3 linked regions of the Daphnia pulex genome follow. The protein of the gene in region 2 interacts with the protein of the main gene of each other region in a pairwise test. Links are inferred from orthologs where the notes say so. Each region holds a gene or a part of one and is shown on either strand. Other genes may lie near its edges.

The links.
Region 1: the proteins of vacuolar protein sorting-associated protein 52 homolog (region 2) and E3 ubiquitin-protein ligase NRDP1-like interact in binary tests that used the Homo sapiens proteins (3 or more experiments, as listed by UniProt). The link is inferred for Daphnia pulex from reciprocal best matches to the Homo sapiens genes VPS52 and RNF41.
Region 3: the proteins of vacuolar protein sorting-associated protein 52 homolog (region 2) and angio-associated migratory cell protein-like interact in a two-hybrid assay, tested with the Homo sapiens proteins (2 studies listed by BioGRID and IntAct). The link is inferred for Daphnia pulex from reciprocal best matches to the Homo sapiens genes VPS52 and AAMP.

What each region holds. Positions count from the first base shown.
Region 1 is NC_060021.1:11,014,729-11,020,022, reverse strand, and holds E3 ubiquitin-protein ligase NRDP1-like, read right to left. Parts: upstream 3,151-5,294; 5' UTR 3,099-3,150; coding exon 3,009-3,098; intron 2,919-3,008; coding exon 2,776-2,918; intron 2,706-2,775; coding exon 2,549-2,705; intron 2,483-2,548; coding exon 2,195-2,482; intron 2,136-2,194; coding exon 1,860-2,135; 3' UTR 1,429-1,859; downstream 1-1,428. UniProt on the Homo sapiens protein: Acts as E3 ubiquitin-protein ligase and regulates the degradation of target proteins. Polyubiquitinates MYD88. Negatively regulates MYD88-dependent production of pro-inflammatory cytokines.
Region 2 is NC_060027.1:4,798,444-4,803,737, forward strand, and holds the start of vacuolar protein sorting-associated protein 52 homolog, read left to right. Parts: upstream 1-2,373; 5' UTR 2,374-2,389; coding exon 2,390-2,524; intron 2,525-2,576; coding exon 2,577-2,845; intron 2,846-2,913; coding exon 2,914-3,028; intron 3,029-3,113; coding exon 3,114-3,250; intron 3,251-3,314; coding exon 3,315-3,417; intron 3,418-3,507; coding exon 3,508-3,685; intron 3,686-3,755; coding exon 3,756-4,009; intron 4,010-4,080; coding exon 4,081-4,235; intron 4,236-4,298; coding exon 4,299-4,389; intron 4,390-4,447; coding exon 4,448-4,496; intron 4,497-4,562; coding exon 4,563-4,738; intron 4,739-4,812; coding exon 4,813-4,990; intron 4,991-5,078; coding exon 5,079-5,294. Other genes in the region: DIS3-like exonuclease 2, read right to left, coding at 1-89, 151-321, 390-622, 685-942, 1,008-1,430, 1,509-1,562, 1,632-1,751. UniProt on the Homo sapiens protein: Acts as a component of the GARP complex that is involved in retrograde transport from early and late endosomes to the trans-Golgi network (TGN).
Region 3 is NC_060020.1:4,205,826-4,211,119, reverse strand, and holds angio-associated migratory cell protein-like, read right to left. Parts: upstream 3,254-5,294; 5' UTR 3,239-3,253; coding exon 3,236-3,238; intron 2,311-3,235; coding exon 2,273-2,310; intron 2,037-2,272; coding exon 1,792-2,036; intron 1,719-1,791; coding exon 1,459-1,718; intron 1,396-1,458; coding exon 1,251-1,395; intron 1,192-1,250; coding exon 992-1,191; intron 930-991; coding exon 595-929; intron 528-594; coding exon 455-527; 3' UTR 262-454; downstream 1-261. Other genes in the region: RAC serine/threonine-protein kinase-like, read left to right, coding at 3,789-3,855, 3,934-4,082, 4,166-4,257, 4,383-4,623, 4,769-4,966, 5,038-5,229. UniProt on the Homo sapiens protein: Plays a role in angiogenesis and cell migration. In smooth muscle cell migration, may act through the RhoA pathway.

The sequences.
Region 1 (5,294 bases), on a different chromosome or scaffold from region 2:
GTCTTATTATGTCGCCATTTCGATTATTTGACCTTCTTCCCTCGTTTCCACTCCGCACAGACTCACGCAGTGAGTACACACACACCACACGTATTTTGATTTTCCACCTCTAATTAGCGAGTTGGATGTATTGAAAAAAAAGACAAAAAAAAAAGAGTCCCATCGACTGATTGTATCATGCTATGTATAAATTACCTGAGACTGTGTTCAAAAATTGTCACCACAGAGCCGACGACAACAACAACAACCATTTCTCCTGCTCCTCAACCCGTTTCTTTTGGTTTTTGTTGTCCTCCCAGCGTGTGTGCTGGTTGCGCGGGTCTGTGGACAAGTCGTGTCGTGATTACCCACATTATCTTTCTCTCCCTCTCTCTCTCGTGTTCGTGCTCGCGCGAGCGAGATTGAGCTCACTGGCCGTCATTATGGAGCGACGACGACGTCTTGCTGCGCTTCTTTCCTCTCCCGACCCCGCCCAATTTGAGACGAAGAATTATTGAGGTTAAAGCGACAAGGAGAAGAACAAACAAATGTGTGCTGCAGTTGCGCAGTGTGGGCTTTTTTTGATTATTTGATTTTCTTTTTTTTTTGTTCAAAACCGAACGGACCTCACAGATCAGATCCGATTGTCAGCAGATTCGGGATCGTCGGTTACCCCCCATTTTTTCCCTTCATTCTGAAACTCGCTCACCCCCCTTACAAACTTTAATTGCCGTTTGATTCACCCCCCATCTTTTATTTTCTCTCTCTCTCTCTCTAAATAGATATACAGAAGATTTTATATATTATATTATCGATTCTATTACGTCGAAACAAAAGCCAATCATTTGTCTTTTATTTTCCATGCGTGTGTGTGTGTTTCAGATTCCAGAAGCTCAGTACAAGAATTGTATATACATGTTCGCACAGACACAACAAACACAATGTAGTTTTTCTTTGACGTTTGATTTCGATCCAACCACTTTATTATTACGTCTCTCTCTCTCTCTCTATCTCTCTCTGGCTCATCGATTTTGTCCTTAATTGTGAATAACTTGTTTTGAAATCATCTCTTTAGCTTCCCGTATCATGTTGTTTCACTACCCGCCGATCCTTCCCCTCCGCCATTCGAATGGAGACGAAAACAAAGTTTCGAAAAAGAAAGAAAATCAACTTCATTAAAAAAGAGGAAGTGTTTTTGAGTGATGTGATTAAATACTCGGATGAGCATGGCTATGTGATGTAGTGCGATTACATCTCCAAAAAATCCACCCCCAACCCTCAACCCATTTCCACACTTTGAAAAAAACAAAAATGTTACATAACATGTGTGACGATGATGTGATTATAACTGAAAAGAGAGAAGAAGTAAACCCGGTTTGAAAAAGATAATAACAGAAAAATAATCGACGAAAAGATAAAAAAAAAATACACACAAACACACACTGTCTATACCATACGATTGACTTCTCAGTTATTGTTTTATTATTTATTATTCCGCAGCATCGGCGGAATATACTATCATTATTTGCACATAAAAGTTGATGATGAAAGAAAACAAGATTTTTGCCATCATTAATCAAGTATCGAACATTTACAACCGCCGAAGAGCGGGGACACCAATTGAGAAACATTTCAAATAAAAACCTACACCTAGCCCCCAAACTGAGCACGATTCAATGAAAGTAACTGATGACGATAAACAATTCGAAAAAAGATAAATCAGATTCTTTTAAGTAAGTTGAGAGGACTGCTGCTTCTGAACTAAAGGACAAAAGGGACAAATTCATTAGTGTCAGCTCGCTGGAGTGGTCCAGCCGGTCGCGAGGACACTGAAGACAAACATGTTGTTGGATTAATAATCTGACAAGAATTCCGGGGTGTCACTCTACACCGTGAGCAAAAATCATGATGAGACCCGGTTCCAATATCATATCTGGATTCATATGTCCGTTGTCGCAGGCCATGACGGCCACGGCTTGTTTGCCCGGAATCCTCCGGCAGACATAGTTCTCGTATTGACGCCGGTTCAGCTGGCGGATTTCCAACGACGACAATCCCGTCGGCCACCGCCGTTCGTGGGCGTTTTCCATCAGATCCTGGATGATGTGCGGTGGGCAACCCGATTCGGAAAGGGCTCTCTTGATCATTGCCTGCAACTTTAAAAGGTTATCGTATTTGATTGAATGTATTGAGCTCGCCAACTGTAGGATATTACCTGTAGCACCGTGTCCGGAGTCGAGATCATGCCACCCCAGCGCAGGACTCTCGCCTTGGGTAGAGTTTCGGCCCAGCGTCTCACTTCGTCGGCTTCCATCTGATCTGCCAGAATCCGCAGCGAAGGATTGGCGTTCCGCATGGCTAGCATGTAGTCCTTCAGCAGCTGCAGTTCTCGTTTCTGTTCGCTCATCTGAAATTTGCCCTCGGCTACTTCCGCCTGCACCTCAACTAGTTTCGATTGCTGGGCCTGCATCAACGAGCGCAGCTCTCGCACGCAGTTGTGTTCCTGGAAATGCAATCAACATAAATAAGGTACTATTTAAAGTTGTAACCTGTAAAACAACCCACTTACTTTCAACTCGTCTTTTGGCACAACTAGCCCACAGCCGAGCTCACATGGCACCGGTCTCTTTGGATTGAACTCACATTCTTGTACATGAGACTCCAGGGCATCTAGTTTCAATATTGCAGTGCACCCATAAACAGAGTTATCACAAGTGAGCTGTAGTCTAGAAAAATAATAGAGAAATGGTACAATTTCATACTGATAATAAGGTTTCAAACTTCCAAACCACCAACCTGTATAGTAGGTTCCGAAGTATTCTGGGAACAGGTCTCAGCTGAGGAGGGGTTATGTTTTGTCTGTCGACAGGACAAGTTGGCTGTCTCGAGAGCCACTCGTGAATGCAAGCAGAGCAAAATGCATGCTCACAGTTGGGTGCCTGAAATTACAAGTCTATTAAATCCATCACATTCCCTCTGGGGAAATTTTATTGCTACTCTCGCTTTTGGAAGCGAACTGTCATTATTACCTGTAACGGATTTTCGAGCACTGAACTACAAATTGGACACAACAATTCTTCATCAACTTCTCCTTGAAATCGATTTATTTCAATTCCCATTTTTCTTGGTTAACAAAACGGCCAAGAAAACTTTGACCTAATTAAGTAAACACACCTGCTTCTCAGTAAGAGTTCGCGTTTCTTTCTTTTTTAATAAAGGGGGAACAGAATTGACGTACCTAAATAAATGCAACAACAAGGTGTTGCAGAGCCATCGGGCGGTAGAAAAATTAAACCGTAAAACGCAGTCTGACGGTTAGGGAACGAAGTTTACATATGGAAGTGCCAACGTCACTTCTTTTCATTTCAAACCAATCCTTCAAATGCTGAACATGTAAGTTGATCAACACGTGGTTATTCTGGGTTTTCTAATTTTTTAGTTTCTCATTTAAGTTTTGAAAACGTAGTTGTAGGATATGGTTAACGCTCTTAACACAGTAATTAGCCTGAACATTTTTAATATCTATATGTGTATTGCTTTGGTAAGGTTGAAGTCTAATAAAACCGACTTTCTCTAAGAAGTATATTATAGAGAAAGAAGCCTCAGGTTGGTCTGGGGTTTCTTTGGTTAAAATGGACAAGTTTGATAATAAGTAGTTTTAAGTGAAATTCCATGTTCAGTCTGAAATCAATGTTGCAGTAACGGTCATGAGGCGAATGAAATTTCCTCTTGTCTAGTAACTAACTTGTCAATTTAAGTTGTTAATTTGCCTCATGTAGGAACAGGTTTGATTATATCTCTTAATCTGTTCATTTTAGGTTGATATCTTCAATGCCAGGAGGGATGATGGCAGATGAGTGCAAGGATCGGAAACAATTTTTGAAGGGCTGTGAGACAAATCATGCATTTAGGCTACATTGGTGCCTTGAAGACGACTAGTTTGGAAGGTAAAAACGAATTCCTATTGTATATGGGTAAATAGTCCTGATGACCCTAGGATTACAATGAAATTTAGTGTACCTAAATTAATATTTTGATTAAATCTCTATCGCAATATTCTGAAGTGTAGACCAAAGCAGTATCACACTGAAATGGTTTGTAGATTTTCATGATCAATTATGTCTAGATTGATTTCTGACCTCACTTGGTTTTGCACCGGTTGGTTGTAACCTATCTTCCAGAATTCGCTGATTTGAATGTAATCGAGGAATAAAGGTTGGTTTTCTTATCATATATGTAAAATATGCTGTTGGATTTTGCTGATGACACTCTTAGGACACCTAAATATGTACCCTGATTACTAAATGTGCTGAAAGTATCGAGTGACTTGTCGTCATTTTGGTCTAGTCCTCGCCTTAACGTTATATCGTTTTTACAGAGAAGATTCCATGCCAAGACATTTCGTGGAGGATGGATGTCGACTGTTACGGCTATGGAGCCAATGGAGGAGGTATAGTTATTTTTACATTTGCATTTGAGCCTCAGAGTCACCGGTTTAACGCACATGTAGTATTCCGGTGCTAGAGGATCTCATAAATTAAACGTCTAACCACTTATGCTCGATCTGTATTTATTGCAGAGGTTGATCACCTCGGTTTGAGACAATTTGTTTTGACTTTACAGGAAGATTTAACATTTTAATGGTGTTTATTTTTATTTTTTTGCAGGCAGTGGGTGTGCATTACACTAGATGAGATACAATCATGAAGGTGTTTGCGATTCTTAGGTAAATGGACAGTTTTAATGGTTTCTTTTGGATTTTTGTGATGAACAACAGTTTCCTGTGTTTCTGACAACCATGAAGACCCACTCGAGTCCCTGATAATTCAGGCTTTTTAATATCATTTAATCGGCTGTAAACAAATATTGACGATTTGTTTGGTTCGTTTATTCAGATTGTCTTGTTTAACAACCGCCGTCGATTGTTGAGCTACTGGGCCAAAAACTGGAGTTTCATTTTCTTTCGTTTCGAGATGCTGGTGATTTCATGATCTACGTAGTGAGTAGAGAGAATTACTTGTAATGTTTAACGTAAATTGAAATGATGAGAACGCTTAAAAGCATTTTCCGAGTTCCATGATGATTCATTCTGCCTTCCTTTTGATCTTTAACTGAGTTGACGATATCAGCGATACAAACTGATGTTATAGATTTATTTTTTTCTGTAGGTAATGTGGTATTGCTTCTTGGTCAACGTCATTGGAATCCGAGGAGTTCATTTTACACAAGGTAAATTTTTTTTAATGCGAGACTCGGCAAACAGGTTTGTTTAAGGAGACAATTGTACGCCAGGTTTCTTATTGTCCTGTTTGCAA
Region 2 (5,294 bases):
CATCATCAGCCATTTTGAGAAAACGACCAGAGACTGCGTCATCAAGATCACGAGCATCCGCTGGATCAATGGTGAAAATACACTGCTGTCTATTAAGGGGAAAAAAAAATTATAGCAAATTGAAAATGAGGATGAAATGTGTTAACTAACCTGAAGTCTCGACGCTTTTTAATTTCTTCTGTTGGGATACTCCATGGGAGTGAAGGCAGGTCATCGAAGACTTCTTGGGGAAAATCACCATAGTCAACCTCGTGTTCGAGTAGAAGAGCTATTGTCTCTGCTTCGATATCACCCGATTTACCAATAAAATAACAGAGCGATCTAGAGAAAGAAAATGAAACTATAAATCACAACGCTTAAAAATATGAAGTAATAAAATCCTTAATTACCCTAATGGATGATTGACATCTTCCCACGAATCTATACGAGCTAAATAGAGCATATTGGGTTGTAATAAGCAACTAGCGAGTTCTGGCGCAAACGGAATTTTCAAACGAGGGATACGGTGGTCTTTGGGTGCGAACAAAATCCAACTCGGTAATGGTCCGGATTGACCGTAAGGCCATTGTCTCAAACTGCCAATAGCACACCTTGAGTGCTTTAGCTCTTTGATGAATACAACCTGTCAATTAGAAGCAATAATTTAAAACATTTTAAAACACTTCATGAAAATGACGAAATTACCTTGGCAATTTTTCTTGGGGTATTGACAATATTTGGGTTCTGTTGACTATTTTCATCAATTGTTCCAGCCGTATTTATGTGTGATTTATTCTGTAAAACTACGCTTAAAGTTTCTACTTGAACGGTGGTAGTCTTCGTTAAAGAATCCTCAATTGTACATGATGCGCTTAATTGTGCGGTGAGATTTTCAACAATGACATTTTTCTTCTTTCTTGGCCTGCGAGTTCTTTTTCTCTGCTCTTCCGCAGGATTATCCAACTAAAGAAAGCAATGAGTTTCTAAGTTATTATCTTCAAGTACATAAAAAAAAATAAAGTATTTACGTTAGTTACATTTTCGGCCATTGTTGAAGGGGTTTTTAGACCGCTTTTGTCTTGCAATTCTGCACCAAGATTTAAATTTGAAACATTTTCCATCAATTTCTTCGGCTTTTTCCTATTTTTTGGTCCCAGGGTTTTCGCGCCCCTAACTTCACGTGAAGCGGCTAAATCTGCATCCACACACTGAACTTCCTTTTCAGTCACTTTTGAAATATTTTCTTTGAGTTCACTGGCTGCAGCCAAATTTTTTGGAGTAATAGGCTGTTCGTTTTGCTGAATGTTTGGTGAACTCGGACTCTCAGCAAAACTTTTTTCACATTCTTTGTTTGCAGTTTGTGTTGGCAGCATCTCACAAACAACAATATCTCCATTAAGTGCTCTGTTTCTGTGCAAAATTCCTTCAATCAGAAAATCTTCGGTTCCATCCTAATACCATTGAGATTTGTTCAGTTAGTTCTTTTGAATATCAAAACTTGTGAAAACAAATTTGCAAGCAATACTTACAGGTGCAGAAATGTATGCCTCTTTATAGTTTTTAGGATTGATTCTTAAAACACCCTATAAATACAACAAACACAGACAGTTAAAACATTACATCAATTAATTCTGAATATAACCAAAACCTACTTCAAAAAGGGACTCATTCCGTAATCCTTCTTCAACATCCTTTTGGTCCCAATAATTTTCAAAAGTTTTACTACGATTGGGTCTCTGTGGTGTGGAGTTTTTACCAATTGACTTTGCCATGATTAATTTCTTGTATGGGCAGATTATGTATAGAACTTATCATCAATGTAATTAAGAAAATGTAGGAATAAATGCAAATTGGCAGATCAGTATACAAATGTCAGTTATTGCTTTCCCTCTGTTGGAACCCTTATAAACTGGTTACTGACCAGTGCTAAAAATATTGAGTTAAAACCTTTGTCAGAGGTTTGAAAGTCATAATAAATCTCAACACTCGTCAGATTACAACCTGATTAACAGTTGACGAAAACTCTTCCACAAAATGTTTTACTTTCTTGGAAGCATGCAATGAGCAAAGATTCTCACTCTTGTCGTGCAAAAAATAGCCGTACTATCTAGACTTCAATCGTTGCTTCAAATTTGAGTAAAAAAAATAAAAGTTTCGAAATTCAGGGATATTCGGCTGACGCTAATATTTTCAAATGAGAAAGATAACTTTAATGGAAACCCTAATCTCTGGGAGATATTCACAATTTTTGCATCTTACTCTTGCACAATCTCTTTGACAACAAGCAGACGATATTGGTCGTCTGCAAACAGCTGAGAGATTTCGTCACGATTCCAGACAAGCCGCAATAACAAGTTTGTGTCAGATTTCGGTTAAAGCCGTTAAAGCTGATTAAAAACATTTAACAGCCATGGAAGATCATTGCGACTCTCAGATAAAAATGGATTTAAAAGTTAGTCTCAAGGACAGCATAATAAAAGAAGCTCTGAATTCGGGTGTAGATTTGAGACAGTATTCACAACAAGTAGAACAACAATTACAAGAGGTATACATTTTTGACATGTTATGAGTTCAGCTAACCAACTTCCTCTTTCCAGGTTGAACTAGTGTCTGTGCAAGATTATGTCAATCAGGGAACATCATTAGCACAGCTTCATTCACAGTTCACCCAATGTGATGTCGCTCTTGAAAGAATGGAAGTGCTTCTAAGTACCTTCAGATCTCAACTAGGTGGTTTAAGCAGTGATATTTTACAACTCCAGCACCAATCAGCTCAGTTGGGATTACGTTTGTCTAATCGACAGGCAGCTAGATCCTTGGCAGGACAAATAATTGATGATTTGGTAATTCCTGAAGCCCTGATAAGGTAAAATTACAAAGTACATCTATTTGTCTATGTGTTGTAATTTTTAAAAATTTAACATTCTTGAATAGACATCTACTTGAAACTCCAGTGACAGAGCCTTCGTTCTCTGAACAGTTGATAATACTTCAAGCAAAGTTGGCTTTGAGTGGTGATCACCATCAGAGGTGCAGTAGAGCTGCTCAAGTGAGTAGGCCTAACCATATAGTTTGAGTTTGTGATTTAAAAAAAATGTCTAATATTTTCTACCTAATATTTTATGCATTTTAAGGATGTGGTTCCTGTCCTAGGTGCATTAAGGATTAAGGTGGTTGAAAGACTTAGGCAGTTTCTGCTTTTGAAACTACAACAACTTAGAAGGCCACTTGCTAATTATCAACTACCACAGAATTCTCTTCTAAAACACAAGTAAGCCTCTGGGTTTTCTTTCTGGATTCCAAATACAATTCACATTTATGTTTTGTTTCACTAGGAATTTTTACCACTTTCTCATAACCCAAGAGCCTGAAATAGCTTATGAAGTGAGGCAAGACTATGTGCAGACAATGTCAAAGCTATATTTCTCTTATTTTAAGGTTCGTGTTTTGATTTAAGAAATAATAATAATTTGTTTGGATATAAATTATGATTTTTTCGTCTATATTCTCAATTGTTTCTTGTTCTAGAGCTACTCCACGCGATTACTGAAACTTGTGGATTCAAATAGTGTTAATAAAGATGATGTTCTTGCTTCCGAAGATGCATCGTTAGGTGCGGCTGCTGCTGCCGCCGCAAGGTCCTTGTTTGGAAGAGCCGCTCCTAGTGGGCGTAGTTCTAGCAGTAAATCTACGGTTTTTACCTTAGGTAACCCCAAAAATTCTTTCTTGCAATATATTTGCTTATTTTTTGCTGTCTTCTTTTTTTAAAATAATAGGAACTCGAATTGAAGTTGTTACAAACTTAGAAGCCCCTGTTCTAGTTCCTCACGCAGCTGCCACTGGTACCAGCGCTGGCCATAAAGGTGAAACGAAATATTCGTATGAAATCGTTTTCCGATCTCAACACTACGCATTGGCCGATAATGCTTGCCGCGAGTATTTGTTCCTCTGTGAATTTTTCCACGTTGAAAGAGCCCCTGCCATGGAGCTATTTCAAGAAGTAATGGGGAAGACCTGCACTATTTATATGGTAAGTTTACTATACACAATGCGCAGCATATTATTCCTTTCTAGCGTCATTTGTTTTTTTTTTCTTTTTAGAAATTTGTGGAAGAATATGTTTCGTCTTGTTATGACTCACTTGCCCTTTTTCTTTGCATCCAAATGGTCCAACGTTTGCAATATCTTTGCCACAAGAGAGCCGTTCCAGCTTTAGATTTTTATTACGAATCTCTCGTCTCCACGTTATGGCCTAGGTAATACTGTTAAATTTAAATGATTTGTTGACTTTTTTCTTTAATATTTGCCATATTTCTTAGATTTGAATATTTGGTACAAGCAAACATTCAGAGTGTCCGTGACTGCGATCCATCTAGACTTTATTCAAACATTGATACGCGACCACACTATGTATTTACCTTAAACATACTTTGATTAAATTTCTAAACTAACGAAAAAACATTAATAGGTAGTGCGACGATACGCCGAGTATACTTCAGCCATTTCTGCGATTCACGGTTAAACACTTTTTTTCCTATTGCATTAATTCTTGTGTCGTAATTTTCTTTATTTTGTATAAAAAGAGCATAACAGTATAACTTCAGCCATGGACTGGACTCCACGCCTACACCATTTACTTTCGACCATGCAAGAGGAGGTTGAAGGCTTCACGTTGCGCCTTGCTGCAGCCTTTACTAAACGAAAGGATCAATTAGTAGCCCTAATCAACAACTACGACCTGATGCTGAGTGTGATGACCGTAATATAACTAGATTTTAGTATTTTACCGAGTTTCTCAGCTTATGTATTAAAACTTGTTGTCTATTTATTAAGGAGCGCAACCGAGAAGAAAGTCGTGAAGCCGCTCGGTGTAAGGAATTGCTGTCTGCTAGAATTTCAGAATTTGTCGAAGAAATTCTTTTTTTCCATTTTGAGGGACTCGTCCGATTCGTCAAAGACTGCGAAGTCATGCTTACTCGAGGGCTTAACGAAGCGTTGCGGAACGAAGAACGTATGCATTTTTTAAAGTCTTTAATTTTATTATTAGTTTTGTCTCTCGATATATAGAATTGTTCCGTTTCTCTTTAATCGGCTTAAAGGTCGGGCCACGCAAACCATAAACGCTTTCATGGCTGGATGGAAGAAATCTTTGGACGAGATTAATAAAGAAATCTTAAATCTGTTTCCGAATTTCAAAAACGGAACCAACATTCTACAAGCGACGTTGACTCAACTCGTCGAATACTACCACCGTTTCCAAAAAATCCTAACCCAACATCCATTCCGCAACGTTCCTGCTCGTGCTGATTTGATTA
Region 3 (5,294 bases), on a different chromosome or scaffold from region 2:
CACTATATATGCTCCTCCTCCTGTTACATCCACAACCCATATGTCTTAATCCATATCTTGTCTACAATACGTTTCGCAAGTCTCTTCATCCATCTCTGTCGTCGTCACCCCCATTTTTTAAAGCCAGTGTATCAGGCTGCGATATAAATACACTGGTCGATTCGGCCTATTGGCCACTGGTATACTACTACTACTACCTGTCTTGGCTGAGAAAAACCCTCCAAGCAAAAGAGAAAGACTTGGTGGACTGGAGACGGCAGGAATTTTTCAATTGAGATGGATTTCTTCCTCTTCAGTCTTTTCTTTCGATAATTACATAACAAGCCGAGAGATTGAAAAAACAAACAAACAAACTTGGATACCAAAAGAGCACGGGTGAATAACTGTCAAACCGAGAATCTTCGGTCACGATGGATGAGGAAGCAGTTGGCGATGGTTCAAAGGCACACAACTCTCAATGGTCAACGTTCACTTCAAATACTCGACAAGTTTGGTCGTCCGACGACGTAACCAGATGGTAACCATCGCTGCAAAGGAAATAATATTTTAAAATTCGGGAAATCAGTTACAACATTTAAATCTAGAAATACTTACAAGGACACGGAAATGTCTAATAGGTCGGCCGTGTGGCCTCTGTACTCGCGCACCAGGGTACCACTTCTAGAGTCAATCAAACGGACCACGCCGTCCAGACCAGCGGAGAAGAGTAGATGCGTGTGTTTGGGATGCCACACGAGCTTCACGACTCCTGCTGACTGATCGTACGACTGCCTTTCGATTTGAGTTGGTATGTCCCAACAACTGATTTTCCCGCTCAGCGTGCCTGTGACGACGAGGTTCACGGATGTTTCAGGACAAAACGAAACTGCTTCGACTGAGCTCTGATCTTCAGAACCACCAACGCCCACGCAGGACAAGGTGCACAAAAGCTGCAAAAGGCAAATATTTATTAAGGATTTTTAATTTATGAGAAAATGGTGTTAATAAATACTTTGCCAGTTTGACTGTTGTATAGTTTGGCTGTAGAATCAAAAGATCCGGAGACAATCAAGTTATTGTCGCGATGACAATCGATCGAGGAAACACCATTCGTGTGAGTTTGTCCTCCATTTGAGTGCTGAAGAACAGCCAAGGTTTTCAAATCAAACACTTTCACCGAACCGTCAACGTAGCCAACAGCTATCCGCCTACCTGTTTTAATAAATTACAATTCAAAATCAAGCCAATAGATTCTTTATCGTCAGTAATACCATCTGGAAGAATTTTGCCACATTCGTTCCTCTCTCCATGACCGGGTAAAGTTTTACAATCTCCAGACGGAATTTTCCACATCCAAGTGTCTCCTGCGTCAGTACCAGCAAATAAAATATGGGATGCTGGGTGCCAATCTATCCACTAGAAAAAAATTAATAATAATCAACATTCATATCGCTTGTTTTTTTTTCAAATAAGTCTTACAGTTAAATCTCCCGTTTCAAATGTCCAAACGACAGATTTGGTTGCCACCTTCCAAACTTGGATTAAGCCGGCCATATCAGCTGTGGCGACGTAGCAACCGTCATGACTAAAAAGTGCGCAGGTGACAGAGTCTTGATGATTTGTACATTCAAAAAGAACCTGGCCATCTGTGATATTCCACACATATGCTTTGTCGTCCTCTCCACCCGACACAACCAGTTTACTTTCCTTGGGTTCGAAAGAACAACAAAACACTGAACCTGTGGAAGATTAAAATATTTGAGCAAATTGTAATCACTTGCATGGTATCGATCAGCATCAAGAAGCACTTACCAGTATGTTGCTTGAATGTTAATAAAGCATCATCGGGTATGTCTAGTTCTTCCATTCCATCTTCACCTTCTGCTTCATTTTCACCATCCTCACCTTCTGCTCCCTCTTCATTTTCAATATCTTCTTCATAGACTTCAATCACTTCAAAGTCTTCATCTTCGTTCTGGTTTCCGACAATTTCTTCATCAGAATCATTGGGCTCTTGATCACGTGGAGAAACAGGAGGGGTATTGGTTTCACCCATGCTGCTCAAAATACAAAAATTTCCAGCATTACAGTATATGTGTAGAAAAACAAAATTTATTGCTATCCCACATCCCAGCAACTTAACATTTTTTTACATAATTTTTAGCACAACAGTAAGTATTTGTATTCCTATCAAATGAAAATATCTTGCAAGACTTGAAAAATATTTCTAAATATTAATGTCATGACTGAACGATGGAAATACACATTAAACAAAAAAAGTTTTTAGCTGACCTGATATTGACGATGTTGACGAAATATTCCAAGCACGTGCTAGAAGCAGACGAACGAAAGCACAGAATACGAATGTCAGCAGGATGCAGGTTGCCATATCAAATATTTCAATTTAGAATCGAGAGACATTAAAAAAAAGTAAATTTTAACAAAATTTTAAATAAAAAAATCTTTGTTTGTTAGTTCTTAGTGAATGGTGTAACCTTGAACTAGGAACATAGATTTCTCTTCAAGACGCGACTTAGTCAGACTTACTGATTTAAAAATCACGCTTGAACGTTGAACGACATAAAAAATTAAAAAAAAACTGAGAAACTATTTTTTTTAATGTTAGACTTCCGTCTTGAATTCTCGACCAGCGACAGCGTATAGCATACAAATCGTTGGTAAACTGTTCAACGTTTTAAATTGTTTGTTTTAAAAGTCTTCTGAGAATTTCATGGTTATTATTTGACTTTTCTAGGATTGGAGAACATTATTTTTGTCGTAAATTGGTAATATCAACAACGTAAGGCAACAGTAAACTGTCAAAATATATTTTTCAGAAGAGAAAACTGCTTATTTTAAATTTTAAATCAATAGTTTCGTCCTTCGTTATCAGATTTCATAAGAATTCATTTCACGATTTGTGTCAACCCTACTTCCTTACTTCTTCCTGCATTTAGAAAATGTGAATTGTGGATAGATTACGAGTTGATTCTAACACCTGATTAGATTTCGGAATGAAAGACTAATAGGGTCAGATAAGTCATAAGAAACGTTACATTACATTCTTCGCTAGAAAAAATGTCGAAAGAACGAATGAGAGAAAAAAAATCAATGTAAATGCACTTCTCAAGCAACGCCTTTTTTTCCAAAGAAACAGGATTTCCTGGTAGACATGAAATTCTATCCTAGTTTCCAGTTGATATCTACACCAATGAACGTATAATCAATAGCAATACATACGAGCTAACGAACATACCATTCGATATATCAGTGCACAACAATTCCTCTACCAACGTCGCACACAACGTCAATCACATTTTTATTGAAAAAGAGAGGAATTTTATTTATTTAACATTACATAACGTACTTTGTTCAATGCTACGTTGTGACTTTTTCATATCGTCTACGTGGTCATTTCGAGTTTGGCGCTTTTCGAACCCTGGCGTACGCTGCTACTCTTTTGTTTTCTAGTTCGTAAAACTGTCGTTATTTAAATTATGGCGCTGTGCAGCCATTGCATTCTTACTGCTTGCCAACGAGGAAAATCACGCACTTCTGAAAACAACTAGAAATTTTCTAGTTCGGTTAAAAAAAAACAATATTTTGATGGTTCATCAAATAAATTAATGGTAAGAAAATATTTATTTACATCTGGAGCTGACAATGTGAGGAAATTTAAGGCGGATTATCTCTTCAATCGCTTCCGCTCCTCAATTCCCATATTGTTGTTTTATGTAGTCCAGTTGTGATCTCATTGCTGTTCCAATTTCAAATCTAGAACATTTTAATTTATTCTAGGTATTTTCATAATGGCTGAGTCTGCAGTGCCAGCAAAATCTCCTGCCATTATTAAGGAGGGCTGGCTACTAAAAAGAGGTGGGTTATAACATAACAACACTACCTACAATCTTATTGTTGTTGTGAATACTTATTTAACATTCCTTTGTTTTTCAGGTGAACACATAAAAAACTGGCGTCAAAGATATTTTGTGCTGCTAGATGATGGATCATTACTTGGATTCAAGCACAAGCCTGAACCAAGCATTGGGCTTGCCGAACCACTCAATAATTTCACTGTAAAAGGATGCCAAATTATGAAAGCTGTAAGAAATTTAGCAAAATGCTTTTGTTGTGGTTTTTTTTCACAATTTTAACACAATATTCACAATACCCCTTCTACTAATAGGACCGCCCAAAACCATTTACTTTCCATATTCGTGGTCTTCAGTGGACAACTGTAATTGAAAGAACTTTTCATGTTGAGTCAGAAAAAGAAAGGTGTGTGAATGAACAAAACTTGTTATTTCAGATTACATAACAATTTATAATCTGAAAAAAATAATATTATTGTTTGTTGCAAGTGGATTTAACTAATTTTCCAAAAAATGATGTTGGTGTTATAGGGAAGAATGGATGGTCGCTATAGAGCATGTGGCTGCGCGACTTCATACAGATACAGATAGTACCGACGTAGATATGCCAGCTGTATCCGAAGAAAACGATCTGAAAAACTCTTCGTCACCCTCGTCCCTGTCCAATAAAATGGTTTCTTCGCCGATGGATTCAGGGAATGATGAATTTCAAATGAAATTTCTCATAACTGGAACCTCTAATCGACCCCATCATTCAGGAAAAAAGAAAGTGGTACGTAAATGAATTCATTGAACTGACTAAAAAAGCATCGAAGTTATAGAGTTATTCGTTAAAACAGCGATAATCCAGTTTTTATTTTTAATCTAAAACGACGTATTATATTGGATTTCTTGTTGTCTTTCGTTTTTCACGTTAGACTTTGGAAAATTTTGAATTTATCAAAATGTTGGGCAAAGGCACGTTCGGAAAAGTCATTCTTTGCCGAGAAAAAGGCACTGGGCACTTATTCGCCATAAAAATCCTGAAAAAGGAAGTCATTATTGCGAAAGATGAAGTTGCCCATACGCTGACGGAAAACCGCGTACTGCAAACCACCAACCATCCTTTCTTGATTGTAAGCGACAGACTTCATTCATCTATATCTTTCGTCCTTTCATTCACATCTGTTTACATTCTCTAAAAAAGGCGTTGAAATATTCCTTTCAAACCGCTGAAAGACTGTGTTTCGTAATGGAATACGTCAACGGAGGCGAACTGTTTTTCCATCTTTCGCGCGAGAGAATTTTCTCTGAAGACAGGACGCGATTTTATGGAGCGGAAATTGTTTCGGCGCTCGGTTATCTACACGAGCAGGGAATCATCTACAGAGATCTTAAAGTATAATCATTGTTTGGAATTGATTCTTCCTCGCCAATCTTTTAATATCTGTGCATATCTATTAA